Linked DNA regions of Oryzias latipes. The protein of the gene in region 4 binds, or shares a complex with, the protein of the main gene of each other region. Links are inferred from orthologs where the notes say so. Each region holds a gene or a part of one and is shown on either strand. Other genes may lie near its edges.

Region 1 (4,166 bases), on a different chromosome or scaffold from region 4:
AAACCCCTACGTCTTTGAACTACATATGTTTTTATATGGGCCCGGCCTCTGACTGGCTGGAAAGGTGCAACACTTAAAAAATAATTAGTATCTTAAAACTAGTTGTTAAATAAAGAAATAAACATATTTTTCAGCTGTGAGTGAAACCTAGTAATCTGAAATCTCTTCACTGATTCCATGTTTTCTGTTCCAAAGCATCAAATCCCTCAGAATCTGACCTAAATGTGAAAACTATAAACCTGAGCTCCTACCTGCTCATAGATGATCTGATGGATCTTCATTCCTCTCTCGTGAAGCTGCAGCTGAAACAAACAAAGTCTTCAGATTAGTTATGCACTTCGTGGGATCTTTGTTCAGCGTCCGGTGTGGAGGTTTTTGGCAGGTAAAGATGCTCCGCTGTGACCTACCATGGCCTTCAGGGCTGCGGTGCGGACTCTGGGGTCCTGGTCTGCGAAGTAATCGCTGATGATGGTCTGAACTTCTCTCACAGCTCCTGTTGTTCAAGTCAAAGGCATAATAAGAACCCATCCTGACCCAAACGGCTGTCATGTTATGCTTCAGAAGAAAAGCTCTGAACAGCCTGCAGAGTTTCCTCTTTAAGACATTCAGACCTGAAGACGAGCTCGATCCCTCGCCGTCTTTAAGCAGAGGAGCGTCCGCCACGCCAAGACCTCCCAGCAGCTGCAGACATTTGTTCCTCACCCCGAAGTGCGTATCAGACAGATGCTGCAGAGGAGACGACCACAACTATCAGATGCTGGAATGTGTGTATGTAAATGCATGAGTATGAGTGCGTGCATCGGTGTGTGTGTGTGTGTTCTTTTTATATATGTAAATGTCTGTGAGTGCATCTGCATTTGCGTGTGCTTGTGTGCCCGTGAGTGTGTGTTTGTGTGTGTGCTACCTTGCAGGCCACCTCGGTCAGCCTCAGTCTGACTGCAGGACTCTCTGGCAGTTGAGTCCCGATGACCAGCAGAGTGCCCAACAGCTGAGCGAGGACTTGATGGGAGTCTGTCCACAGAGACAGTAAAGGGTCTTTGAACGCAACATGAAGCCACAAAGGCCGACAGAGAGGACAGTTGAGGTCTGATGAAAATAAAAAGGGATGGAGTGTGTCTCACTCTCATTGCTGAGGGTGTTGATGGCGTCATCAAAGATGCAGTCCGGGCTGAAGCCCCGGGTTTTGGACAGCAGACCGAGCAGAGAAGCGATCTTCAGCCTCACAGAGTTGTCGTTTTCCTGACATGAGACACATTGGCGTGACGCATTTCTCGGTTCAAACAAAGGTGTCGAGTTCTAATATTCAGAAACTATCTAGAACTATTTAAACAATTGAAATGTTACAGTAAGAATAAAAAGTAACGCCTCTATAAAATTAAAAGCAACTAGAACTTTCTTTTCACATTTTATACTAATAAACATTCAAATCTAAATCTTAGAAATCTATTTTCCAAAGAACGACCATTGCCCCGCCCACATCTCCAACATCCATTCATCATCTTGTCTTGTGGAATCCTGCTCAGGGTCATAGCGGCTCTAAAAATCACATTGTTGCTGATCATTATCATCGTTTACCTTGTAGTAGTGCTCGAGCAGGATCCGGATCACGCCCTCCACGCTCTCCGCCTCCACGGGCTTGCGTGCGAACTGCAGCAGGTACTGCAGCGCGTCGGTGGAGTTGGTGGCTTTGCAGAGGTCAACGTGCAGCGCAGCAGACTTGCTGGGTTTGGACAGACGCAGCTTCTTGGCCGGAGCTTCTTCATGAGGAATCTGAAAACACGATGACAGTGAAGATTATTTATGCAAAAAAAAACAAAAAAAAAAACATAGAAAACGTTTCAATCTTTATTTAAATGATTAAAGGTTATTACAAAAAATGCAAAGACAGGATCAATGTTTATGATTTTTTAAAATATATTCAACATGTGTTATTACCACCTAAACATCCTTTCCTACTCAACATCTGAGAACAATTTAATTAAAAAGAGTTAGATTCTTTTCATAAAATCTGCTTTATAAAGATACTCAAAAACTTTAAAAAACAAAAACAGTTCCCCTCTGAATCTGATGAGCTTTTCACATATAGCCATGAACAGGATTCACAGAGCAACCAGTTAAAGTATAAAGTCACATTTCTGCAACATTTTAAATCAAAATAGAATCTGTTTTAATGAATATGTGGGTATGTTGTTAATGAATAGAATGGATTTCTGTCTTACTAGTTCCTGAACATACAGGAAAAAACCTGGCTGATAGAGATGACCACCAATATCTGAACCACGTCTGATTCCCAAGTTAATGGGCCTTAAAAAGAGTTAAATTTTAGGAGAAAACACATAAAAGTCCGAGGACATCTGAAAGCACCGCTGAACGACTGCTATAGCTATATCAGATGCTAACCACTTTAGCTAGGCTGCAATTGGCCAAATATTTGTGACATTAAAGAAAGTCAGCTCCACAACTTGACCTTAAATGAAGTCACCAAACATGTACAAACTCTAATGTGTGTTGAGTTGTTGAAGCTGCAACGGGTTCCTGTTGCTGTTCAGTCAGCTAATCAGTTAGCATGCGCAAACGGTCCTGTTAGCTTGAAAGCGCAGTTTTTAGCTTCATATTAAGGTCTTGCGCACAAAAACAAGCTGACGAACAAAACAATTATAACGTTTACCTGAACGACTTTTGAAAATTCCTCGTACACTCGCTTCTTCAAATGTGCTGCCATGTTTCAGTAGGTACGCACAGACAATTCTTTCCTCAAAACGCAGAATTGTCCCCTTACACTTTCCGTAGCTGTGAAAATGCATTGTTTTCCTACGGAAGCCGGGAGTGGAGAACTCAGGGTAGTCCGCAGTCTATGAATGTCCAAGACACCCTTCAGTTTTTTCATAAAATATTAAAATATTTCTTTGGCCTATAAAAATAACTCCTTGTCTAGAAATATTAACTTTAGAATTAAATTAATTAATACGAATGAATACGAATAAATTAATGAATTATGTGCATTAAACATGAATATTTTAGAACAAGCCAAGAAATAGAACATCTTTGAAATCACCATAAAATATTTTAATTTGGAAAACAATAGCAAAATGTTTATAAAGCAACTTTAGAAGAACAATAAAATAAAAGCACTAATAGCCAAAAATCTGATGATATTTTTTATTGTTTGCATATAAAGATAAAAAAAAACAAGTATTTTTTTACAAATTTCCTCTGACTTGTATAAACATGTGTTCAAACAAATAAGTCACTTCAGTTAAGACAGTTAAATCCAGTAATCCGCGCTACCTTAAGAAAGACAGGGGTAGTATTTAACAACAAAATATTGAAACCATCTACAAATTTCTAAATTTAAACACATGATTCCATTATAGAGAGAATGAGGGCCTGTAAAGTTTTACACTGTTTACATTCAAATATCAAGTTTTTTTCTAGACAACTAAAAAAACAGTAAAATGTACTCAGATGAAAGCTGAAGTGCAGATTGTTAAGTTAGGAATAAAAGCTTAAGAGTGAAGAAAATGAATAGTGTCATTGGGAGAAACATCATCTCAAAGGTCAGTGATTGATTCCCATGGTGTCATGCTGCAGAGCAGCAGCTAACATCTTGTTCCTCTTTCTATCCGACACCCATGTGACCAATCCCACGATGCCGACCATGAGCGGCAGAGCCACACACAACACAATGCGGCTGATGGGCAGCCGGACGGAACACAAGCCGTCAGCAGGAGGCTGCAGAACACGGGCGGAGGAGGTGTTTTCAAACAAAAAGGAGGAGGTGAAGTCCCAATGAGTCTCTATTTCGCCTGGCTTGGTCTCCACCTGACACCTCCACCTCCTGCCGTTGTCCTCCTTCTGCAGATTCAGGACCAGCGTGGCGTTGCAGTGAGTTCTTTCAGTCAGTTGATGCCTGGAGGAGAAGCACGATCACAGCTGTGACTCTCATTTCAAAGCCTGAATTACAGATTTACTTTTTTTCTGCAGATAATCAAACTGATTCATTTCAATTTTAAGTCACACAAAAAAAGAAAACTTGAGAAATAAAAATTCAGTTCTCCTTAAGTTCAGGGATCCATACATTTGTTTTCTTTGAGCTCTAAAAGTCTATGTGCACCCCTAATTTATTTAAATATTCAACATAATCCAGGTTTATGCTCAGTTTATTT
Region 2 (4,036 bases), on a different chromosome or scaffold from region 4:
TTGATGGAGTCTAAGGAAAGAAGCATTAAAGGGAGATGATGACACTACCAGAAGTACAAGATGGTATCAAGTTATAAGATCTGTAGTTCCAACTGTTTCCTGCTGCAACATGACGCAGTATAGTTATATCAACTATATATGATAACTGGATTGAGTTCACAGGAAGTACCCACTGGCTCCAAGGAGCCAAAATCCCACAATTGTCTATTGAAAAATAAACAGCTATTGGACATTTTTTGGCGTATAAGGCGCGTTTTATTTTTTATTTTTTTTGCATAATTGGCCGGGGATGTGACTTCTACGTGATTTTTTTTAACCCTTGTTTTAACCCTTGTGCCTAGGATAGCACAAGGGTTAAATAAATATGCTTGTGTATTTCTTCTTTTTCCACTAACAGCCACTAGAGGGCAGTGTAGGTGTGTATCAGTATTTGCTACTGACAGCAACGCTAAAGAAGTAGGGCCGCTCAGTCTACGGCGGGCTTGGGCAGAATTATTCCAAAGTGACACAGATAATGAAGAATTCAACAGATTTAGTGATTTTAAGTGATATAGTGAGTTTAGTTGATTTTTTAGTGCGCTCTTTATGTTATGGTTATCTGAACGATTGTTCAATATACTAGATTATTCAATTCCTCCAATGTCTCATGAAGCTACGTGTTACAGTAGTGAAGCGTGTGCATATTTTCAGTCTATTTTTGTTGTCTATTTCATCCCTATGATTTGTCTTTCAGGATGAAATTTCAGTTCTTGGTCGCGTATTTTGTAAAATAAATTTCTCCCAAAAAAGTGCAACTTCTACTCTAGTGCAACTTATATGTGAATTTGTTATTATTATCTTATAGTATCTTATTTACTATGCACCAGAGTGACTTTTAGCCCAAAAATTGTCACGGTCATTACATGTTTGGAAGAGAGCTCAGCTTTTATGACGAGTTACCTGCTTGAACAAAGAAACTGAAAGCCTGTCTGTGCTGCAGCATTGTGCTGAAGCCCTGAATCCAGCCGATGCGGACGCAAGGATCATCCCAAAGTCCATCTTCACGCCAGTGCTGAGGGTTAAAGGCGAGGTCCAGGACAGAGTTCGCCTGTGGGGGCGAGAGCATCATCATCATTATCAGTGTTGTGGATGGCTGTGTGATGTTGGTGAAATGCAGGAGATATGAGGCCTACCTGGAGAGCTCTGAAGCCATCCTCAGCAGCAGCCACTAAACCAGTGAGTTTGAGGGCAAAGGAGATGATGCTGGACTCTGCAGCTCTGCTGGAAACTACAGTTGATATGAAGCCCTGCAGACATGGGTTGACCTCCAGCAGAGACACGCCTTCAACAGGAGGAGACACAGTCAAAGAGTGTGATAACAGAAACATTCAAGACCCACTCCAGTGAAAATAGTGTTTTGGGGTTTTTTAACGTGTTGTTGTAGTAATTTTCTTATGATGGAACACATATATAAACAAAAGAAAACTAAAATGGCATTTTTTGAGTATATCTTTATTCAAATCGTTGTGAATCAGGAGCACACAAAATGTCGTTAGAGAAAGCTATCTTTTGAAACACAGTAAGTGAGATGGGTGGGCTACAAGCTCCCTGCTCTGCTCCATTGATGCATCCACATGCAGACAAAGAAATCCATGTCTATCTGGATCAAAATTGTATGCCTGGAAATGGATAGCTTTAATATTGCTCGCTATTATTGTTTCACAGATAATGTTAGGTTGGGGTTGTGAGGGGCTGTAAGCCACCAGAAGAGAGTGTTAACAAAGGGATGATGGGAAATCAGCAGAAGCTTACTTCCGCCAACTCAGATGCAAATTTCTAAGAGGTTTTGCTGCTTTGCAGAAACTATGTCCTTAAAAAAATAACAGTTTCCTTTAAAATTGTTACCAAAAAAGGCATAATCATAATTGAAAGACCACTGGGAAGTATTTTACAACTGATCAAAAGATGATTTTAATGGGACCTGAACTTCTACTTCTCTTCATAAATAATTATTAAATGTACTTCAATTTTAAATTTCAAATATTTCCAGGAATTTATGTGCAAATTATATCCCGGCCAAATTGAATTCACATAAACAAAGAAAACTGCGCCAGACTGGCTGGGAAGAACTCGTAGTATGGGGAACAGCTCCCAGAACTAACCCGATTTGCTGAATGTTGTGAACCAGTCCAGCAGTTTTTCCAGGCTTGTATCATCGGGCAAAGAGCTTCTCGGGGCCGCCAGAACGTCACAGACCCGCGGCAGGAGAGACACACAGTCTCCATCCATACTGAAGAATGGCCGGGAAAACCCAACATACACCAAGTTTGGAGCTCACGTCACGATAACTAACTCAAACCTTCGAATCGTCGATATTGAAATTCATCAAAAGCGAAAATCATATAGCTAAACCAAAAAACCTTTATAAAAGTAAATGGATAAAAAGTGAATTACTTTCATGTGGCAATTTTGTAGTCAGTATTTGAGACATATTGCGAGTAACTCTAAAAAAGAAGTAGTTTTCAACAATTTACTGGCAGGTGACTCCCCTTATGTTGCTAGCAAAAGTAGCTTCTACTACCGTTCGATCTGTATTCATCTCGATGCAGTAAATCTAATTGAGCATTCGTTGTTGTCGCTCCTCCATTTGTTTTACAACTTTGCGATTTCACGATGGTCCGTAAACGCGCCTCTGACCCGCTTCCGGCGTCACGTTTCCGCCTCTTCGTCCATTTTCGCACATGGTGCCTCACCGGTCGTTCGTTGTTAGCCTCTCATTTTCCGGGATTTTGCGCCTCTGTAAAGGTTTTTCAGAACCGCAGTCCCATTAAATGCGAAATACAGTTGATATGGTGGACGACCCAGAGTATGAGGAGGAGGAGGAGCCTTCCTTCAGCGACCCGGAGGACTTCGTAGATGATGTCGAGGATGAGGGTAAGCGCTAGCAGGAAAAGCGCCGGCTGTAGGCCTATTGCTAACTGCTAGCTAAAAAGCTAGACGGACCGTTGCTTTTGACATATTTGCAGATGCTGTCAGTTTGACATTTTCTTTAGGCGAAAGAATGGACTAGTTAAGCCGTATTAGTCTCGACAGAGTTAATTGGAAGGTTTTATCAACCAAGAAACACACGAACAATCGGTTTTCTTGTCTATCATGATCATGAACGCCGTTCATTCAGTCATCATACCAGATGCTATACCGTCAGTTTTTAAGTCGATGAGTTAAAGGGGAAATTAGCATCTTTAGTTGTCTTTTAAGTCAATTTGACAAATATATAAATTGATGAATTTACGTCACTACTCTTGTCTTGTTGTGACATTTTGAAAGGTTTGAATTAAATATGCTCTTTTGTTATTTCACAATATACTTCATGGCATTAACAAAGCTCACATTTTTTTTTAACCACATAGAGACACAGCATCCAAATGGATTTCATATAATCTAGACTACTTAAAATTGTCTGGAGGATTATTTAAACTGAACTTGGGTGATTACATTTGCAGAAGTAATTTACAGATTAACCAAAGAACCTACCTCTTAAAGGAAGAAGTGAAGCAGATAGATCAGGGGTCTGCAAGCTTTAGTGCTGAAAGAAGCACATGATGGTCCAGTTTATTTTACACCAAAACCCAGTGAGAGCCTCACTTTTCTGTTTATTTTCTGTTTATGTTAAAAGAAAAAGAAGAAAAAAATCACATTTTTTGTGGCCATCAAGCCATTCATTCATAAAAAGTAGCTTTAAAAATTGGAATAATATAATTATAACAGTGTTACATTACTATTATATACCTTTTGACAGCAGCGCATACAAATTCCTTTCAAAATAAAATGCATCCGGTATAAAGTAAGATCTTGCTGCAAATGTACTGAAAGAACTTTGTCTTTGAACAGCAACTAAACAAAAGGTAAGAATATGAGTTTAAACTAATTCCAATTATAAACCACTCTGACAATAGATCCAACCCTTTGCCATTATTTTGGTTTGTTTTCTGATGTTTGCTATTTAGGGGAATGGTAAACCTTCCAGTGGCTGTTGATTTAGTTTAATATCACCATT
Region 3 (4,247 bases), on a different chromosome or scaffold from region 4:
AGGTTTCTGCGCCTTGAGAACACACACACAAAAATCATTAGCTTTAATGAAGACTGTTGGTCCTGTTGCCATGACTCCCAGCTGATCACTATAAGAGTCAATACCCGAGCACAGGAACAGCTCTCACCATGCGTTTCATTTGCCTGGTACAACGAGCACAGTACCACACAAGGCGGGGGTCGTTGACCTCTTTGTCTGTCACTTGGGGCTTGTGGCAGTCCTGGTGGTACAGATTATGACACTCCTGACACTCCACCAACTGGTTTCCCATGGTCACCGTCATTTGTCTACAGTTCAGAGAAACGCAGACGCAAAAACAGTTGAGTGAAGAGAATTTCATACCAACTCGCACGTTGTAGAAAGAGAAACTGGATCCACAAACCAGAAAAATGTGCAAATAACAAAGAAACTCAAAGTTTCATTTCATTTCATTTGATAATTAACAAGCACCTGCAAACCACACAAGCCAGTCCCATTTCCATGGCAAAGTCGTCAGCATTAGTTTCATCGTAGTCGTGTATGTTGGGCATGAGGTCCTTGCTCGTCTGAACAGTTATAGGGGACGAGCGATTGTCCGGTTTCTCCAAGCGGGACTTTTTTGGAGGATCCACTTCAGACAACTCCACCCGTATCTATTTGTCAATGAGACAGAGAACGTATGAAATTTGAAAATTCATACCAACATTGGTGTTCAATCACACAAGCTGTTATGCTTAAAATAACCACAGATTGAGAAGAAAGTCCCAAGCAATGTCTATTATTATTATTTTAAACTAAGGATGTACATGTTTGTTAGAAATGGACTTGTTCATCTCGCTGTGGCATCATTTAGTTCATAAAATAAAGTAATAATATTCAATTACAAGACCCAGGAAAGCCATAAATCAAGACTTCGATTATTCATAAAAAAAAACAACCTTTAAGTTGCTGATATGTTAAAATAATGACCCATGTATGTTTTCTTTTTCTCTTTCCCTGATCAGGCATCCTTTTTCTGGTGTTAAAAAAAAGTCTCAAATTTTATTCCAAACATTTTTTTTTTGAGTGTTGTCATTTCTTTTTGCATTTGTCAATATTTTATGTCTCTTCAGGGCTTTATTCCTAAATTCTAATGATTGACAATTGTTGCAGCTTTAATTGGAATCAATGTAAATCCTGAAGAGAATTAATGAGTACAGTCCAATCATGGCACATGGTGTCATCTAAACATACATGATAATGTGACAACACTTTTAATCCCCCACCTTCTCTGATGGCCTCTTCTCTGCTTCTTTCTTGCTCTTCTCTGAACTGGATTTGGAACTTCCACTGTTGCTGGAAGATGGAGTGCTCAAAGACTTTGAGTCTTGCTTAGTCAGGCTCAGTTTGGACACAGAACTTTTTGGCATTTCCAAGTCCTAAAGATGAACACAGCAGAAAAGAGGAGCAATAAGCTCCATACGAATGAATTATCACTGACAGCGTAAGACTATCTTTATAAGAAGCGGATCTTACTTTTTGTAATGAGCGGTAGGAGGAGTCACCTCCTCTCGCAAGGGACTCATCGAGTAAAGCTTTGAGTTTCTCTGCTGAATCTTTGTTCTTGGAGTGCAAATAACCCAGAGCCTTTAAAAAAAGGGGGTCCAACTCCAAGCTGACAGGTCCAGCCATGGCCTAGTTAGAAAATGATTGAATAATGTTAGGTTTTCATTGACGTCTGCAAATTACAAATGTACACTTTGCTACAATACAAAACTATTTCATCTTATCTAGATTGCAAATTAAATATACTAACTATAATAAAAAACAAAAACAAAAACAAACATTTATTAAGTCAGTCACACATGTTTATAGGCGTCTGGGAGCATTTACAACAATGAATATCAATGATGAGCATATTTATTCAAAGTTATAGTTTGCTAATTACAATTGTAATCAAATAAAGCAATTTACAATGAACTATAGGCTGTCAAAACTAACAAAAAATACAGCAACCAATAAAAATGTTCATTTTTAAGAGTTTTGCCTAATAATGGGTACACAAAAACGGAACGTTTTTAAGACTAACCAGCTATTTTTCCTTATTTGCGGTATTTATTACAAGAAATCCTGCCTCTGCATTATTTACTACAAATATATAAAGAAATATGATGCCTGTGTCTATTAAAAACAACCCACAATGCTCAAATCCAGTTGGTAGGGTTTAAAGTAATCGTTGGTAGCAGATGGACGGAACAATATCACTGCGACACCGTAGGTAAAGTTATCTTCCCAAATGTCACCAACACGTCAAAATCCCCAGTCTATAGCTTTAAATGGGTAATCCTACCTCACACTCAGTTTCTGCAAAATGTTGGTCTCTGCTGTAGATATTTCTGTTTAATAGAACTCTTTCCACAAAGAGGAAATCGCCGCTGACGTTTTATGTCTTTCACAATGTGCACCCGATAAATGTGTCCGGAATCTAAGTGGGCGGCGCAAGTAGAACAAAAAATATACTTCACGTAATAGCAAAGCGAATTTGTTTTTTGTTTTTTCACTCGTATTTTTAAATAAGTTTTATTCTAACCGACTTTCTATCAATAAATGCATTTAAAATGTATATATTTTAACGACCAGCTGGTGGCGCTGTGGCAATACTCGACTCAATAACTCGTAGTAGAAGAAGAAAAAGCAGCACGCTGATAACGTGATGTTTGTAAAGTAGCCGGTCTGTATGACTTCTTTCTGACTGTTTTATGGCATTATTAGCAGTTGAAAAGACAAATAGTGATAATAAAAAATACTTAAACATATTTCTCCCATTCACAGCATTTACCATGACACACGCCGAACAACCCCCGTGCCTCTACTTAGAAGTTTGCAGCCAAAACGAGCAGCTGCGTCTTCCCCTGCACTCTTCTATAGTTCTGTTTCTGCTGTCTTACTGCGACTGCGAGTCTTTCAGAGTGTTTCTCGTCCTTGGCGACAGCAGCAGCTCCGAGCCTCTGAAGAGCCAGCTTCCAGCATCTGCAAGTCTCTCAGACGTCCAGGTGGACGAGCTGCCCAAACTGGTGAGCAGCTGCCGCCTCCCCGCTGCTCTGGATGAGAGCGCGCAGATCTGCAGGGCCGGACTGGCGGTGGTCCTCAGACACATCATCGACAAGAGCATCGAGGCTGACCCTTCCAGGAAGGATGTAGCAGCTCTGCTGGGCTTCAAAAAGACCTGCTTAAAAGCCTGTGCAGAGGTTGGTGCAATTACACTCTATCACGTCTCTGTAGGTTTGTTTTGGTTGTCAGGATGGAAAAACACAAAAAGTCTTTATGTGTGTTTTGAAAATATGAAAAGACCGTGATGCTTTGCATTAAAGGGCATCAAAGTTATGCAGTTTTACATGAAAGGAACAGCTGTTGTGTTTGTAGGCAAAAAGATGCCACAAAAATGACACCCCCCCAACACAACACCAAGTATCATCTTACAGTTTCAGGTCAATGTTGCCATATGTTACAGAAAAACAGCAACATTAATTATCAGACATTTCCCCCCGGTGACAGGTGGTGCACCTTGCCAACAAATTATGGATGTAATGATTAATTGACTAAAATCGAATTTTATTCCTATGATCCAACCAGATCTTTCTGACGCAAGCTGTTAATTGAATCGACCTATGAAATCATTTCAAAATGAAATAAATTGATTATTATCAATATTGGAAAGTCCCATTTGGATTGAGGCCTTGTGGGTGTATTTTACTATAACATAAAAACTGACAGAGTGCCATTACAGTGGGCAACACACATGTGATGGCAGTAAAAAAAGATACCTACAGTCTTGTCAAATTGACTCCATCATTGAACACCTAAAGGCAGGATTTGTTGCTAGCAGTACAAGATGACCCAGACCAAACTGCATCTACATATACAGTCAGGACCATAAATATTTGGACAGAGACACATTCTTTCTAATTTTGTTTCTGCCTGGAGTTGATTAGAGGACTCGTGCTTGCATTTGGAAGATTTTGCTGTGAACAGACAACATGCAGTCAAAGGAGCTCTCCATGCAGGTGAAAGGAGCCATCATTAAGCTGAGAAAACAGAAAAAAACCATGCCAGAAATTGCTACAGTATTAGGAGTGGCAAAATCAACAGTGTGGTACATCCTGAGAAAGAAAGAAAGCACTGGTGAACTCAGCAACGCAAAAAGACCTGGACGTCCACGGAAGACAACAGTGGTGGATGATGGCAAAATCATTTCCATGGTGAAGAGGAACCTGTTCACAACTGCCAAC
Region 4 (4,209 bases):
CCAACACGTTTCCTCCCGCCCGGATCGTCATGGCTGCAGGTCATCAACAGGAATAAAGAAGATTGCTCCACACATTTAAAAAAAAAAAAAAAAAAAAAAATCAGGTTTGGAAAACCCACCCAGGTTACTGCAGAATTCTCCCAGCATGCCATCTGGGTTGGCTGTGGGCATCTGGGTGAGCCCAGTCAGAATGAGAACATCGCTGTTCTTTAAGGAGCTCTGGTCCATCGGCTGTGAAAGAAGAAACTGGAATCGTTTCAAACTGTGGAGGACATTCCTCACAGAAAACAACTGAGCTCTGGTTTCTTGTTTTGATTCACAAAAAAGCTGCTTAAGGACCCACTCTGATTAAATTGTGGCACTTTTCTGATGATGGGAACATATATTAAGAAAATAAAGCATAAAATGTCATTTCTGAGTATTCCTTTAGTCAAATCGTTGTGAGTCAGCAGACAAAACTTCAGTTTGAAAAAGAGCGCGTTTGTTCTGTAAAACACGCTGGGTGGGCCACAAGCTTCCTGCTCCGCTCCATTCTGATGGATCCGCTGTCAAACATTTAGATTCATGTACATCTTTGTTTTCCCCGTCTGAGCTGGAATCTAGATCTAAACTGTACGGCTGGATAGATCACATATTGCTCACCATTTTTGTTGCACCGCTAATTTTAGGTTGTGGCTCTGAGGGGCTGTAAGCTAGTGGAAGCTCTCAGTAACCGAGAGAGGAAGAAGGCTGTGTTCATGTTAAATGGTAAGCTACGAACGCACCGGGAATGTGGAGCATGTTAAGAATGTATGCTTTTAGCCACGTGGTGTTTATATTGGAAAAACATGGAGGGGCTTCATCTTTCCTAATCTTTCTCCTGTGCTGCTCGGCTCTCCTCCTCGTACCTGTGGGTGTGTGGTGAGCAGCGATGAACCCGACACGTACGCCACTTTCTCATGATGGGACTGGATGATCCAGTTGGAGCTTCCTAGTGAGTAGCCAGAGCTTAACGGGGAGACCTGCACAGCTCCAAACAGCTCCTGGAAAGAAGTTAATTTTTTTTTTTTGAAATGGTAGATTAAAATCTTTAAAAAAAACAGTAAGACATGTATTTTTAGTATTTATTTTCACATGCAAGAACAATGTGTTGTTTCAGATTTTTTTTTTACCACTTTCTGGGAATAACCCACGAGCTGCACTCTGCTGAGGGCTGAGTTAACCTCCTGGATGCCGTAGCATCGTTTCCACGTCCACACGTCAACCGCATCCTTCAGCGGCCCCGGAAGCAGCCTGATGTTACAACATTATTCAGTGATGAACTGTGTTTATTTGACACTTCTCAACAATCTTTTACATGTTTGTACCACCTTTTTTCACCCCTTCCTTTGTGTCAAACAGATAAACAAAAAGCACATCTAAAGCTGAAGCTAGTAGGATTTGAATGATCTAAATATCCATTTTGCTGCAGACTAACCTTTGCATGTCTTTATTTTTCCATGAGGTGGCACTCTGAGCTTTAGGAACCCTCTCCATGAAGTTCACCAGCTCTTCCATCAGCAGTCTTCAGAAAAAAAGTTAAATTTTCAATTGTCTGAAGAAAACTCAAAGCATGAAAGATATTTTGGTTCACATAATATTTACTGGAGTTTAGTTTGTCTCCATATTTACCTCCCGATCTGTAAGGTGGGCTCTGTGGCGTACACGGTCCCTGTGAAGCCAGTGTGTTCAGTGATGTATGGCAGGGCCATCATGCAGTGGTAGTTGGAGATAAGGATGACATCAATTGTTGACAAATCCAATAACTCTTTCTGTATTTAAAAGATGTAAAAAAAAAAAGAAAAAAACCTAAATATATAAACATTTGATGGAGAGCAGGTTTGGTTTCCTTTGATGTTTTAGCTGCAGACTTTTACATCTAAAGATAAAATGGAAAAAACAAAGTTCAAATTTCAGTTAAGGATGGATAACCAGCAACCTCAGGTAGACAAAACTCAGGCTGCGAGTCCACAAATACTCTTCCGGCACATTCCTTTAGCTCCTAGGAAGATGAAAAAGAATAATTTTAGTCAAAAAAAACAAAAGGTATATGTGAGCCAGTTTTTACACATCACACTTCAAACCTTTTCCAAATTTATTGTTCCATCCTTTGAAATCCAGCCAGGGAGCTTGGAGAGTCTGGGACTGCAGAAATAAATCAAATATCATGGTTTAACGAGTCTAATGCTAAAGCATGCATGTAAAAGTGCATAAGTATGGCAGTCACCTGTGCACAAGAGGAAGAGGCAGGAAGTTGAGGACAGATGTAGTGTCCAGTCCACAGTCCAGCATGATAGTGGTGGACTTGAACTTGAGCACATTGCAAGGCAATGTAGGATGACCTGACAAACAGTACTGAGGGGGGAAAATACGTTTTTAGTTGAAAAGCCAGTCAGTGCAGAGTAAATAAAACTACAAGTATAGTAACTATGCTAAATTGTCTCTAAACGAAATGCAAACAGTTGCGCCAAAAAGCAAAACAAATAAGCTAAATAAAATGTCCAAGACTGTATTATGTTTGTTGGAAAAGTAGTACTATAAGCTATTTATCTCCATCAAAGTCAATACTACTTTCTTGCTACATAGTTTCCCGTGGATTGTAATAGTTTCTAAACATTCAAAGATTAACAGTTTACACTTTATTTGTGTTTTTGACTTACCAATTTCATTTCTTTAAAGTATCGAGGGATAAATGACTCTAACGTAGCAGGTTTAGCTAACACGCCATATTTCTATTATTGTTCGATTCCCAAGTTCGCTCTCTACTGCCCCCTACAGGCTTGGAGTCACATAAAACAAACCCAGCAATGTTACATAAATTCGTTAAAAATTAGCGAACATACTTAACCTTAAGTGCAATTGCTGGCTAATATTGGTAAATAATTAAAATATATATTTATGGGGGGAAAAGGTATTTTTTATTAAAATAAAACTTTTTGATGGAGTCGGAGCCGTTCTTAAAAGAGCTGACCCAATGTGAGCAGAAACAGATGACAAGAAGTAACCCGTCTATACTAGAACTGTGAGTGGGCGACTCTATTCTGTTCCGTGCATTAGTCATATAAACCAGTCACGCCTCGGTTGGATGAGGTTTTGCCCGCGAGCAGAGGCGGAGCGACGGGCTGGGGATGGTGCAATAGCCGCGCAGCGTTTAGCCCCGTCACATGCTAACAGCTGCTGGAAGTCATGAAGCGGTTAAAAAGCTCGCAGGTGACTCAGACTGGCACAAGACAATAAACAACGCAGGAATGTTACGAAACTGACGCCTTAAGACGAACCGTTCACCTGCGTCCAGATATAAAAACGGAACATTTTGGTTTCGCCCAGTTTTCGAGACGTGGATGTTTCCTCTCGGAGGTTTTGTCGTCAAGAGGTTCTACGAGTGGGTCAAAGTCGGGTAAGGGAACCTGTCCGCCTGTGGAAGACAGGAGCGGAAGTTTCCGACACTTAACAGCAGTCCTGGTGTCATTTTAGGGTAATCGAGTTTTCTTTGACGCGTCTAAAGGCAGAGCAGAGGAAGAGGTTTTCGCCTTGGCTCGCTGCCATGGGGAACTCATGCAGTAACTTTGGGATCCCTGCAGGGAATGGCCCCAATCCTGTGGGGTGCACTGATTTGATGATGGACCACACAGTGAAGGTAAATAAACACTCATGTAAATCTTGGAATTACTAGAATTTCTGCTAAAACAGTGGAACTAAAATTGTTTTTGTGATCTTGTTTCCGTCCCTCCAACAGGGCTCCTTCTTTAGGCTCTACTACCCTTGCCAGGAGACCGAAAAGGCAGAAAAACCAGACTGGGTCCCTTGTAAGGAATATTTTAATGGCCTGGGAGACTTCATGAAAATCAACAGGAGGCTCAGTGAACAGATTTTTAAATACCTCTTTGGTAAATAAATAAAAACGATACTTTTTTTTTTCTAAATCTACAGATTATCACAATTCATTCTTTTCGATTGTGTTTCATTCGTTCCAGGGTCCTATAAGATCCCGGCCTTCTTAGACGCGCCGTATAAACCGGACGGAAAGCGTCCAGTAGTCATCTTCTCCCATGGCCTTGGAGCCTTCAGGTACACAAACATATTACATTGACTTCATAGGGCTACGTTCACACCCGGCATGTGACGCTCATTTTTACATGTGGTGTTCACACTGGACAAGCTGGGCTGAGCAGGAAGCAGCTGCAGGCCCGC
Region 5 (4,237 bases), on a different chromosome or scaffold from region 4:
TTATGTGCTGCTTTTATCCCGTTCTTCATCAAAACTCTCACCTTTGGGTTCTGGAGCCACATCTCCAGCCTCTGCACTGCCATGAGTCGGGTCTCTTTGTAGCCGCATGCGGCTGTGAGAAGCCGCAGCAGATTTCGGGAAACGTTGTCCATCGGCTGTCGGCGGTTCAACTGATCCCTCAGGACGTCAAGGACATAATCCTCCACACTTTCTGACAGTTCTTCATATCTACAAGGTTACAAAAAAAAACCACAAAATTTCCCACCAATTATTTTTAGTACAAAGAATCCTTTAACATAATTTACCCCAGTTAACGAAAGTAAAAATCTATCTACTCATACCTTGGCATAATTTGTCCCTCATCTTCAGGACTGAGCTTCTCTTCTGCTATTAGCAACTCAGTCTGACTGTCATCTTCGTCTGGGGTGGACGGATGAGGGCTGCTACCTAGAACAGCCACAATAAATCCATAAATAAAAATGTGCTTTTTGGCATCCAAACTCTCAAGGAATTAGCAACCTTTTCAACTCTACCTGCACTGAGATCCCCCGCTGTGCGGCCGGTATCAGCCTGCAGCAGCATACTCTTTGGAGGCATCTTGGTGCCAAAAGCAGTCTGGATGTTGTCGACAAAATTCTTACAGTGAGAGCTATCGACCCAGATTCGTTCCCCCAGTGAGTCCTCAATGTAAACCTAAAAAAAAAAAAAATCACATTTAAATTTAGAACAAAACAAAAAAAAAAATCATAAATGACAGAAAAAAAAGCTTGAAGAATGAAATATGAATAGTCAGGCTGCCCTGCATTAACATTCTCACTTTGACAAAGATCTCTGGCCAGTTTTCATCTTCCTCATATGCTGCCATGAGCAGATTGCAAGCTAACACAGAAACCAGGCTGTTGCCTTTTGCCTTGAAATTGATTGAAGCGTCCCGACGCAGGAGGCTGCACAAAGCCTAAAGCCGAAAGGAACAGGTTAGACAAAAGCATTTAATGACAACATTTGTGTAGGTGTTAAACATGCATCTGAGAGTCTTACCTCAATGATCCCTTCGGTGGCAAAGACATTTGGCTTGATTTTAGCCAGAAACATCAAACTGAGGTACAGCGTTGTGTCAGGTTTGGCTCTGTTCAACTTTAGCTGTTTCACTGCTCCACAAAGTAACCCCTCAATGCGATCGTCATTTCCTTCAGACTCTGAAGCTTCAATCTCATCCAGAAGAAGAGCTGGGGACACTGTCCAAACAAAGAGAGGTTATTATACTTTTACATCTGCCATTAACTGTTTTATTGACAGTTTGCATGTCATAAAGACCCACTCCGATCATCTTTTAAGCTATTTTAAAAGCGTTCCCAGGAGCTCAGGAGCTTATTAGAAATTCACCTATGAGTGGTGGGTGGGACCGTTGGCGTTAAGTAACCTGCCTCCTCTTCCCTTCTTCGTTACTGACAGCTCTCTGTTTACACGTTCGCTTGCTAGCTTACAGCCCCTCACACCCCCAACCTCACATTACTGGTGCAACAAAAATGATGAGCAATCTTGCAGCTATCCTGCTGCACAGTTTTGAGCCAGATGCCAGCTCAGAGGAGAAAAACGAACGTACGTGGATCTAGTTGTGTATGACTGGATAAGTCAGAATGGCAAGTGGCCAGTGTACCTTCTGTCAGAAATAAGCTCTCTTTCGAGCAGCATTTTTCATCTACTCTTGATTCACAACATTTTGAGTACAGAAATACTCAGAAATGCAATTTTGAGCTTTCTTTTTTAATATATGTCCTCCATCATCAGAAAATCACCACAAGATCATGATAAAAACAGCAAAAACATCATTGGAGTGGGTTTTCAAAACATCTTTCAGTACCATAAAGTAAATGGTTAATTTACCTTCAATTGGTACCACTGATGGCTCTTTTATTGAAGGCGATATAGCCCTCTTGTCTACCGCAGCCACATCAGCAAAGCGGCTAAGTGCACTCACAGGAGGGGTGGTGGACAATTTGGGTCGTTTGGTGAGGGTGGACAGACCCGAGGAAGAGGGTAAGGTGGAGGCGGCTTCTCTCTTCCGGTCTGTAGGTATTCCTGATGAAGCTGGCTTCAGGAGAACAGCGGGGGCTTTGGGCTCAACACCTTGGCTCTTTGAGCCCAAAGCAATAAAATCTCCAGGTGGAGGATGACCTGAGACAGTCAAATGTCACATTTTAGCTATATAGATGCTACGTTACAAAAACAATACTTCGTGTTTTCCCGCTGATCATACCCGATGATTTGGCAGCGCTTGGGCGCCGCAGAGTTGTTGGTTTTGGGCGATTCATCTTCTCTGATCAAAATCATCAAGTTATCCACGACAGGATGAACAGATTATCATTCTTTCTTTGGCAAAAAAAAAATAATCCTGCAAATAAAGCAAATTATGCATTGTTTGGCATATTAAATGTGGCAGTAGCATAGACATACTCCGTTTTTTTAGTTCAAAAAATGCTGCTTGTTACATCCGTACTACTAGTACACAGTACACCAAACGCGAGCGGCTAATCAAAACAAGGCTAGTAGAGTGTGTAGCTTATAACAGCTTTAGCTACATTTACCCGTTTAGAATGTGGCAAAAAACGTGACTGGTGTTAACTTTTGTCTTATCGAAAGGTTATATAAATATAATCCTGTTTATTGAAACGAATTATCACTAACCTGAACAAAGCTCTTTACATAAAACTTAACAATAATCGTCTCAACCGGAGACGGAATAAACTGGGGAGCGAGCAGCGGTAACTTCTTCTGCTTTCATTAAAGTCACCGTTCACCAATAAAAATGCAAGTAGCGCCATCTAGCGGCGGGAAGTTTGTACTGACTACCGACCATCAAACAAGTGTACTTCCAGTGGCACACAACATCAGAGCAGAGGCAGTTTATAAAAATGCTTTGAACAAATAATAAAAAATGATCAAACTTGTAATTCATGATATTCACCATAACAAAAAATTTGACCACATTTTAATAATAAATTAAATAGTCAGTTTTGTGACTTTTTGTCTATTGACTTATTGAGTTGTTAATGATGTTTATGCAGTCAATTTACAATAAAGTTATTTTTATAGTGATTATCTCCAATCATTTTTATAGCTATTTTTTCCCAGTAGTTATAGTTAATAAGAAATCCCCTTTATAAAATATTTGGCACATAAATTAGACATGATTTGAGCTTTGTTTCTTTCCCAAAGATCTTGCACCACAATTTTATTCTATTTTTAACATTTTTATCTTAATGCTGCTAATTCTCTTCACAACTGATGTATTTATTTTCTTAATGTTAATTTAAAATAGCCCAAAACTTTCTGTCTTCCTGTGTGAAACACTTCATTTATGAAAGGTACGGAAAACTGTCTTGTGCTGATTAGTCGGTTCCAGGAAGAAAATAAATATTTTACAGAGGGTACATTGCTAAAATAGAGGTACTGAACCATTGATGTGTTTTGACATTAGTCCTCTTTCCCTGGGTTAATATCAGTCAGAAAATGTCTCTTCGTATTTTTGCCCTAACAGGACACTGTAGAAAGCGGATACTGCTTAAACAACTGCGATTACCTCTTGTATGATGGTTGCACTTTGTTCATAAGCAGCTTTGTTTCATTTTCAGGCGTTGTGATGCTTGACTCACAACACTTCGTTTTAGGATAAATCTACACTGGGATTCATATCTTTTAGTACAATAAGTGTGTATATGTAGTTTTAATATCAGTCTGTCAATATTAGATTGTTCTTAGGAACACGGAGAGGCTTTTATAACCAGCACGATTGTATTTCAATCTTTTCAATGCAAACCTGGATGAAGATACAATGCCCATGTAATTACATGCAACAACCCCTAGAGGTAGATGGAGACTATTTTCCTTACTTCAACATCAACAAGTCTGTTGAAACTGTCAAGAAATCAATGATGCAGAAAAAGTCTTTGCAGACTAATTCTATTATCGTTATTCTAAAAATACTATAAAAATAAATCTGCCATCTCAGATCCATTTCTGAAGACAAAAACAGTCATTTTTTCATTTGGTGTGTCTGAAATATAACAGTGACTTCTCTCTTGTTTTATAAATTGACTTCAAACTTTAAATTACACGTTCTTGATCATCAGAATTTCAGGGCGTCTGTCAAATCAAATCCAAATTTGGTCAATGTGTTTTCTTTTTCAGAAATATTTGTGTAAGGATGTTTTAAGGAAGTAAAAGTAACATTAACATG
Region 6 (4,197 bases), on a different chromosome or scaffold from region 4:
ATATTAATAAGAAATTACAAATCAAATAATTCCGTTTTTTTTTGCTCTTTCATCATTTTTTAGAGCATTTTTTTAGAGCTGGACTCCTGCTCCATTTTTAGCAATAATTTCTTAATGTGTGACGTCCTGTGTGTGTCTTTGTGAAACATATCAGAGGGATTAGATCTAAAAAATAAAACTTATTGTGATTAATATGTTTAGGTCTTATAAAACATTAAAGAATAAATCATAGAACTCATCAGTGGGATTATTCAAAAAATATTTGGCATTTCCCTAATTTTGTGCAACACCAACAGTAGAAATCCTCCAAAAAACCTCAGTCCATAAAAAATGGTCTGCGCTCATCCCCCCCCCCCCCCCCCCCCTCCCCTTCCCTCTGACACACGCGGCTCCGTCTCTATGACGGGAGGCGCAGCTGCGGCTCAGAGTTGATTGTCAGATAGAAAAAGACTCCCAATCACCTGTTAGTGTGATTCAGCCACCGGTGAGTTGCGCCCCCCTCTCGAGTTTTTTGACTTATGTTCCAAAGACTGCCGCAAAGAGGTGTGGCCGCAAATGTCTTGCAGCAGAAGGCGGTGGTCACGTGCGTGTCGGGTCTGCCGTGTCAGAGCAAGGAATTGTGGGAAATAATCCCCATTGCCTGCTTTTGTCGAAATTTGGTTGAGCATGGGTGTTTGTTCTGCCCAATTCCTTTTCATGTGCCTGTTTTACGTTGTTTCACTCTGAGTTATTTCATCTTTTTTTTTTTTTTTTTTTTTTTTTTGCACCATAAGTGTGAAGATCAAATAGGATGAAGACATTCTTAACAGTCTGATGTATCAAAATAAAAGTGTTGAGTGTCGGCAGCTGAAGCAATTTCAAATTAAAAGCTGCAAGCGTAACGCACGCATCGGGCACGCCAAATGCCGCCCCCCACGAAGTGCCGCCCTGGGCGACCGCCCACATTGCCCATATCAAAAACCGCCACTGAGAGTGGGAGAAAGTGTAAACAAAAAGATGATAAGAAAGTGAGGGCGGGGCAACTCCACACCAACAGTCCTGCCCAGAACTCAGAGGCTAATTTTGATGAACTATTGCCGCTCTTCAGAAACTATGTCTTAGAAAACGACACCGTTTTTTATTTTTTTTATTTTGGCTAAAACCAGCATATTCTTGATTAAAAGATCACTGGGGACGCTTTTACAACAGATCAAAAAATGACTGGAGTCGGACTTTAAAAACATTTAATGACTATATCTATATACCCAGGCTGTGTCCCACCAAAGTGGGGTAGCCTAGACAGGGCACACATTCTTAACTCCCTCCTTCTCTTCCCCAAACCCTCCTCCTTCAGTGTGTGTGTGTGTGTGTGTGACTGGTCTAAGGCCTGGCCTAAGCCACACCACACTGCACCAGGGTCAGCTGCACAGCCCAGTGTGGGCACCTCCACAGCAGGGCCTCAGCCAAGGCTGGTTTCCCCTTGCCGCTTCATACCAAGACCAGACCTCTACCCCACCCATCCATTCATTCATACACAAACTCTCTCCACCCATCCCTGTCCTGAGCAGCCTCTCTCCCCTGCACCACAGTCATCCCTCTTGCATTTAGCGCTCTTTTTACACCCTCTGTCCATCCCATTCGCGGTCTTCCTCTCATTCTCACTCCACTCACATCAGATTCGTACACCTTTTTCACCAACGCTCTTTCAACATGTCCAAACCATCCCAGTGCCTTTTGCTCTGCTCTATAAGCCAACTCTCGCAGCACACCAGTTCTCTCTCTTTTATTTTTAACACATTTAAATGAATACAGTACGCGGTATACTGAAATAGTTAGATTGGTACCTCGACTGGTGACTATAGTTTCATTTTTTATTTGTTGAACACTTTGTACAGTGAGCTGCGTAAAAAGTATTTTGTAAGTGATTTTAAACTTGATGCAACCTCGTAAAAAAAGAAGAAAAGAAAAAAACACGTCACTGTCATCCTTCCTAGACTGAGTCCTGTTCCTCCATGGGTTTGTCGTTTCATCTCACTTCATCCTTTGGAAGATTCTTCCTGGTCCACGGTAGCTAAATCCTCAACTCTGTGTATTCGTTTAATTATTTTTTACAATTTCACTCATTCAGTCCGGCCTCTGCTTCACATCAGACCGGAGACTCTTCCATCTGTCCCCATAAACGGTGAGTACCAGCTCTCTCAACCTATAAGCGCTTTACGACAGGGGCCTGCTGTTGCCATGGTAACGTCGTTCACTCACGTCGTCGTTGTATCCCATGTGCATTCCACAGTCCAGCATGATGTTTTTGCCTCCGATGGAGACGAGGATGCAGCTGCGGCCCACATCCTGTCCAGCACCTTGGAGGAACACGCACGCGCTCAATAAATCCACACACAAACTCATGGTTATATGAGCAGCTTTGTCCGTTTAGCAACACGTAGGACGGAGCTAACACACAACAGTTTGCGTGGTCCGACAAAAACACACATTGTTTGCTTTGGTTTCTAAAACTCCACTAAGAACTACAACTTTCATTTTAAAGACATTTGTCTGAATGACGTGCTAGCATGCTAACCGAACCTGCTGGACTTACCCAGAGGAGTTACTTTAATTTCAGGCATGTTGTCTTAACCGGAGCAACCGGTGAACGAAAACGACAACGTTTCCCGACCTTTTGGTCAATTATAACTAAAAGAAAAGCAAATGTTTAAAGTATTGAGGTTTTACAAATAACAATTCATACTGTTTTTCAAAGAAGCAACTAGCTAATCTGCAAAAACAAAACTTCCGGTTTACGCTTTCAAAATAAAGAAGAGCCGACGAAAAGAAGTCAAAAGTACTTCAAAAGATAAACCTGTCAATTACATTTTTTGAAATGTTGTATGATTTACTTTATATATTTAACATCTCAATATGAAATGTATATGTAAGCAGTTAACTGAAACAGGAACCTACTTACATATACGATACATCTATCTAGATTTCTTTTATTCACAATATGGAAAAAAGTTCTTTGCATGTTAGTTAGTAACCAAACATAGTCTTAAACATTGAAATGAGCAAAACAAAGTTTGTTCTGAAGAGTTTTACTCCTTTTGTAATGTTATTGCTGCTAAATTTTACGGATATATCAGTTTATTTTGAAAGTACAAATAGAATTTCCTGTATTTGCCGGTCTGAGTCTGCGCGGTAGAGGCGGATAAGAGTGACCTGTCATAGTCGGAGTTAAAAGGAGGGATGCTTCATTTTTCTTTCACTTTGCTCGCCTGTGTCAGGGAACGATTTTGACATTTGTCATCGGTTTGTTCCGGCCTGCTGTAGCTCCCTGGTGGCGGTCGCGCGCACACGTCATCCACGTTTTCCGCTGTTTGCTTGTTGTGGACAGCACTTCCTACTAGATCACGATCATCATGGCTGGGCCCGCCGCATCAGAGAACCAGAACTTCTGCTTTAAGGAGGAGCTGGACGCTTTTAAGTTGAGCTTGTCACCCACTAAGGAGGTGATTCTCGAGCATTACTTGGCTGGATGGAGTGGGCTTGTCAAGTGAGTGAGTTTCTTATTTTTGGAGGGGGGGGGTTCAAATATTTTAGCTGGCCGGTCACTGACATTTAAAGCTGATTTAAAAAAATAACAACAAAAATTTAAGGATTAAGAACCCTGAAAAAAATGTCAAAGTTCTATCATGGCACGGTCTTGGTCAAAATCAACGTGTTGATCTTGAAAGCACCAGAACTTTTGCAAAATGCAAACTTGTTTTTCCAAGTCAACCTGCTGTTCAGGTCTGGGGAGTCAGTTTTGGTCTCCTTAAGTCCCAGGAGGTGGGCGAGCATTAACCGTCCTCCCGATTAACTGGTTAAACTCCACAAGGTGCTTCTTGCACATGTGGCCTTCCAGAGCAGTTTCCCTCATTAGCTTCTTCTCCTTCCCGTTCTCTCTAAATGCTGAGTGGATGGCCCATCCTGAGCGTGGAGAGCAAGGGTCTGTCTCCAGGTGCAGGGACCACTTTTGACCCCTGACCTCCTTTATTGTTTGCCCGCCAGCTCAATTTCAAAATGTCTAAAAAATAAAAAAGTGAGTTTTTGCTTCAGGAAAAGTGGATTTAACGGAGGGCGGTGGTTCTTAAAGCCTGGACGTGGATACTCTTGTAGAACAAAATGACAGGTTCAGTTTGTCAAAAGGTGAAAACATGATTCTCTTTGAAGTTAAGCTTTGGAGAA
Region 7 (2,496 bases), about 6.7 Mb from region 4:
TTCTGCGCTCATATTCACTCTCAGTCTGGACAGAGCCCAGAGTGCCGTACTCCTGAAAACTGCAGTTCACAAGAAGCGGTGTGACATCTTAACTTCATACATCCTCATGCCAGATGTTTTCTTAGTTCACTTTCTCACATAAATAATGATATGTTTAAATATTTAGAGTAAGGTCTTCCAGTAGAATTACACTGGGACGAATATGCAATAGAATTTTTTTTTTTTTAAATAGACTAAGGTATAGAAATGTGCATTCTTTTGAAGGCCAAATGATAAGAGTGAATCTCACCTAGCTACCTGTGGGTCGATTATCAAAGCTTCAATTACATGTGAAACAAGCAGGCAGCTCTGCTGTTGTCTGCATAAACAGTTAAGGTGAAGTCAATCACAGTAGAGAGCAAAAATGGAAAACCTTTTTAAGACAGACTTCAGTCCAATGCTAAGGATACAACTCCACATTACGAAGGGTGGCGTAATCAGCATCAAAAGATGACTGGTGTAAATCTGAATAGCGAGCGGCGAGACTTCTGAACTCTTCCATGCATACTTTCATCTGGAAAAAAGAAGAGAAGCACCATTAATAATCTCATAAATCTTGCTTGTCAGCACCAAGATTTCTTTTATTTTTTCATAATTTATTTGCATTTTAACAGGAAACTCCTTTTCGTCACATTTTGTAGATAAAAACATGTCAAAGCGGACAGGAGGAACGTTAAGATAAAAGGCTCATTAGTCAAACTACAGAGTTAATAACCCTCAACATCTGTTCCCACAATGCATTTCCACTTAGCAGCAGAACTTCCCAACTCTTTTCTCCACAAGTTTCACCCAAACAGAATCTATTTCTTTAACCTGCAGAGAGATGCGGCCGCACCGCTGCAGCTCGTTGCCGGAGGAGAGCGCAATGGTGGTGGCGATGGCAGGAGGGGGGCTGGTTTTCAGGCTGTTGCATGTACAAATGAGCTGCGACAGGGCTTGCAGAGTGTCGATGCGCAGCTTAATGAACTCACACTGGAATGTAAGCGGGCTCAGAGGGGTACTGGCAGCCTAAAGGGACAGATGCATCAGATAAACGCTCACAAATATTACTCATTTATGACTTAAGGAGCGTCAACAAAATACATAAACATCCAAATGACTTTCAAAACCTAAAACACTTAAGTCCCTAGGGAAGCGTGGACTACATTAATGTTTTATGACAAGCAGATGCCTGGGAGTTAACCGACTGTGAGGGAGGCGATGCCCTTTTGGTAGGAGCGAAGAGCTTCGGCGATGGCACTCATGGCTCCGCTGTAGTCTCCATCCTCCACGTGAGTGAGGCACTGCTCAGCCTGGGAAAAATCCTTCAGGCTGTTCAGCCAGAAGTAGAAGTGTTCAGATGCCACACGCGTCCGCAGACATTGGTACAGCTCGCTGGAAAACTCGTGGCACCCCTGAAGGTCAAACACAAGGAGCTTTGATTTCCGGCTTCATGGCTTCACGCAAACGCTGCTTCGATAGAAGCTCACCATCCGTGAAGCCTGGCGTGCGATGCGATACACCGTCCACCCGTTAGCAACGCTCTCCAGTTGCTGTTTGATGACAGTTTTCACCTCGGCTGAAAGAGATGACTGGCTTGCAACAAAAATCACTGTTGCCAAGGAAACCTGTAGCAGCCACATTATGTGAATTAGTTTAAAATGGCAGATAAAAAAGAAAACCAAAGCTGCGCATGGCGTTGTATGGTCTGTAGGCGCCACCCGCCCCTGCAGCCCCCTTTGACCTGCCCTCAATGGCTGAGTGGCTGCTAAACCCCTTCACTCTGCCCCTCTGTTCAAAACTGCACATGACAAATTCATTAAAAAATGATTTTTTCCCCAAAATATTTTTATTGATTTCATCTCTATAGCAACTATTCATTATTTTGGTCACATGGGGTTGACGAACAGGTCTATGTAATTTTTGGATTTCCTTAGCTACAAAGGTTTTTTGTTAACCACACCCACATTTCCACTTTCTATGCCCAAAATACATTTTGACCAGATGCAGTAAGAAAAGAGAATTGCAAAAACAATCTATTCCTCGCAGTCCAGGACTGCTGCTGGCCATAGTTAAGGAACAATTAAATGAAGTGACCCTAAAATAGAAAATCCACAAAAAATGTCATCTTGAACCAAATCCACATCCAACGCAAGTTAACAGAAAATCAGGCGTGACTTGATTGCCATCTCTCACCAGAAGCTCTTGCTGTTCTCCGGTGGAGGAGTGACTGACAACCCTGTAGAGATCCACCAGATCCCCCAGCATGCCGTCCCCCAGCACGGGCAGGTGAGTGGCAATGGCCGCCAGAGCGTGGCAAATGAGAGTGCGGGACGAGTCACAGGATAAGTGGAGCTGGCCCAGCAGGAAATCCACAGCTGCCTGGCTGAGATGCGGTCGACCTTTGAGCAACTTGACCAGTGAGGTGAGGCCAGTCTGTGGTGGTTCAGAAAGAAGACGACAATAAAATACAGATTT

What was found.
Region 1: the proteins of ints9 (region 4) and ints4 are in contact, whole or in part, in a cryo-EM structure (PDB 8RC4), measured with the Homo sapiens proteins. The link is inferred for Oryzias latipes from reciprocal best matches to the Homo sapiens genes INTS9 and INTS4. Residues at the interface, in NP_060720.2 of Homo sapiens: Lys2, Tyr4, Lys18, Ser21, Thr22, Leu43, Val44, Gln45, Glu87, Glu89, Leu90, Asp92, Asp97, Thr122, Glu145, Arg146, Val147, Pro148, Lys159, Glu174, Ser176, Thr177, Ser192, Gln195, Phe206, Gly207, Ile379, His380, Ser384, Asn385; in NP_291025.3 of Homo sapiens: Leu53, Gln54, Leu57, Gln58, Arg61, Lys62, Pro86, Ser87, Leu90, Lys91, Ser94, Gln125, Gln129, Asp132, His164, Gln207, Asp208, Pro209, Arg210, Arg212, Asp244, Tyr245, Glu246, Gln247, Trp296, Phe837, Gly840, Leu841, Val842, Val843.
Region 2: the proteins of ints9 (region 4) and brat1 are in contact, whole or in part, in a cryo-EM structure (PDB 8UIB), measured with the Homo sapiens proteins. The link is inferred for Oryzias latipes from reciprocal best matches to the Homo sapiens genes INTS9 and BRAT1. Residues at the interface, in NP_060720.2 of Homo sapiens: Gly276, Met277, Gly279, Glu280, Cys282, Ser283, Asn284, Ala286, Leu287, Arg290, Asn291, Tyr315, Asp317, Ser318, Ala319, Gly320, Ser483, His484; in NP_689956.2 of Homo sapiens: Ala406, Pro407, Cys416, Pro460, Gln506, Lys507, Arg508, Cys510, His511, Pro512, Arg517, Glu545, Leu549, Gln552, Asp556, Pro557.
Region 3: ints9 (region 4) and ints12 share a complex: the UniProt entries of both Homo sapiens proteins name them as parts of the integrator complex. The link is inferred for Oryzias latipes from reciprocal best matches to the Homo sapiens genes INTS9 and INTS12.
Region 5: ints9 (region 4) and ints1 share a complex: the UniProt entries of both Homo sapiens proteins name them as parts of the integrator complex. The link is inferred for Oryzias latipes from reciprocal best matches to the Homo sapiens genes INTS9 and INTS1.
Region 6: the proteins of ints9 (region 4) and ints11 are in contact, whole or in part, in a cryo-EM structure (PDB 8RC4), measured with the Homo sapiens proteins. The link is inferred for Oryzias latipes from reciprocal best matches to the Homo sapiens genes INTS9 and INTS11. Residues at the interface, in NP_060720.2 of Homo sapiens: Glu127, Gly198, Tyr199, Ser200, Gln201, Lys202, Tyr231, Glu338, Phe339, Ile342, Phe343, Glu345, Gln352, Lys354, Val355, Tyr356, Leu357, Pro358, Glu359, Pro360, Pro361, Arg511, Arg512, Tyr513, Glu514, Lys515, Ile516, Glu517, Ile518, Met519; in NP_060341.2 of Homo sapiens: His94, Gln97, Ala98, His137, Leu138, His139, Gln140, Thr141, Lys274, His277, Tyr278, Lys280, Leu281, Phe282, Ile283, Pro284, Trp285, Arg291, Phe294, Ser449, Pro450, Ser451, Ile452, Pro453, Val454, Gly455, Ile456, Ser457, Leu458, Leu461.
Region 7: ints9 (region 4) and ints7 share a complex: the UniProt entries of both Homo sapiens proteins name them as parts of the integrator complex. The link is inferred for Oryzias latipes from reciprocal best matches to the Homo sapiens genes INTS9 and INTS7.

What each region holds. Positions count from the first base shown.
Region 1 is NC_019871.2:2,461,128-2,465,293, reverse strand, and holds the start of ints4 (integrator complex subunit 4), read right to left. Parts: upstream 2,801-4,166; 5' UTR 2,723-2,800; coding exon 2,669-2,722; intron 1,771-2,668; coding exon 1,576-1,770; intron 1,240-1,575; coding exon 1,122-1,239; intron 1,012-1,121; coding exon 905-1,011; intron 727-904; coding exon 612-726; intron 494-611; coding exon 408-493; intron 303-407; coding exon 252-302; intron 1-251. Other genes in the region: uncharacterized protein LOC105355351, read right to left, coding at 3,559-3,910. UniProt on the Homo sapiens protein: Component of the integrator complex, a multiprotein complex that terminates RNA polymerase II (Pol II) transcription in the promoter-proximal region of genes.
Region 2 is NC_019859.2:21,374,036-21,378,071, forward strand, and holds the start of brat1 (BRCA1-associated ATM activator 1), read right to left. Parts: upstream 2,801-4,036; 5' UTR 2,269-2,800; coding exon 2,142-2,268; intron 1,322-2,141; coding exon 1,173-1,321; intron 1,088-1,172; coding exon 940-1,087; intron 11-939; coding exon 1-10. Other genes in the region: eif3b (eukaryotic translation initiation factor 3 subunit B), read left to right, coding at 2,811-2,913. UniProt on the Homo sapiens protein: Component of a multiprotein complex required for the assembly of the RNA endonuclease module of the integrator complex.
Region 3 is NC_019859.2:15,819,744-15,823,990, forward strand, and holds the start of ints12 (integrator complex subunit 12), read right to left. Parts: upstream 2,801-4,247; coding exon 2,798-2,800; exon of another isoform or gene 2,791-2,797; intron 2,690-2,790; exon of another isoform or gene 2,534-2,689; intron 2,428-2,533; exon of another isoform or gene 2,309-2,427; intron 1,654-2,308; coding exon 1,495-1,653; intron 1,398-1,494; coding exon 1,245-1,397; intron 633-1,244; coding exon 451-632; intron 288-450; coding exon 128-287; intron 13-127; coding exon 1-12. Other genes in the region: gstcd (glutathione S-transferase C-terminal domain-containing protein), read left to right, coding at 2,799-3,206. UniProt on the Homo sapiens protein: Component of the integrator complex, a multiprotein complex that terminates RNA polymerase II (Pol II) transcription in the promoter-proximal region of genes.
Region 4 is NC_019882.2:12,966,197-12,970,405, forward strand, and holds the start of ints9 (integrator complex subunit 9), read right to left. Parts: upstream 2,801-4,209; 5' UTR 2,688-2,800; coding exon 2,679-2,687; intron 2,374-2,678; coding exon 2,246-2,373; intron 2,164-2,245; coding exon 2,103-2,163; intron 2,021-2,102; coding exon 1,958-2,020; intron 1,791-1,957; coding exon 1,651-1,790; intron 1,544-1,650; coding exon 1,457-1,543; intron 1,273-1,456; coding exon 1,152-1,272; intron 1,023-1,151; coding exon 888-1,022; intron 232-887; coding exon 120-231; intron 34-119; coding exon 1-33. Other genes in the region: pla2g7 (platelet-activating factor acetylhydrolase), read left to right, coding at 3,360-3,415, 3,493-3,655, 3,755-3,905, 3,993-4,086. UniProt on the Homo sapiens protein: Component of the integrator complex, a multiprotein complex that terminates RNA polymerase II (Pol II) transcription in the promoter-proximal region of genes.
Region 5 is NC_019866.2:7,350,569-7,354,805, reverse strand, and holds the start of ints1 (integrator complex subunit 1), read right to left. Parts: upstream 2,801-4,237; 5' UTR 2,686-2,800; intron 2,393-2,685; 5' UTR 2,313-2,392; coding exon 2,258-2,312; intron 2,176-2,257; coding exon 1,885-2,175; intron 1,236-1,884; coding exon 1,039-1,235; intron 956-1,038; coding exon 818-955; intron 694-817; coding exon 534-693; intron 448-533; coding exon 342-447; intron 229-341; coding exon 42-228; intron 1-41. UniProt on the Homo sapiens protein: Component of the integrator complex, a multiprotein complex that terminates RNA polymerase II (Pol II) transcription in the promoter-proximal region of genes.
Region 6 is NC_019865.2:23,481,376-23,485,572, reverse strand, and holds the start of ints11 (integrator complex subunit 11), read right to left. Parts: upstream 2,801-4,197; 5' UTR 2,601-2,800; coding exon 2,573-2,600; intron 2,337-2,572; coding exon 2,239-2,336; intron 1-2,238. Other genes in the region: cptp (ceramide-1-phosphate transfer protein), read left to right, coding at 3,390-3,523.
Region 7 is NC_019882.2:6,289,669-6,292,164, reverse strand, and holds part of ints7 (integrator complex subunit 7), read right to left. Parts: intron 2,455-2,496; coding exon 2,215-2,454; intron 1,647-2,214; coding exon 1,509-1,646; intron 1,434-1,508; coding exon 1,227-1,433; intron 1,048-1,226; coding exon 853-1,047; intron 554-852; coding exon 450-553; intron 359-449; coding exon 290-358; intron 60-289; coding exon 1-59. UniProt on the Homo sapiens protein: Component of the integrator complex, a multiprotein complex that terminates RNA polymerase II (Pol II) transcription in the promoter-proximal region of genes.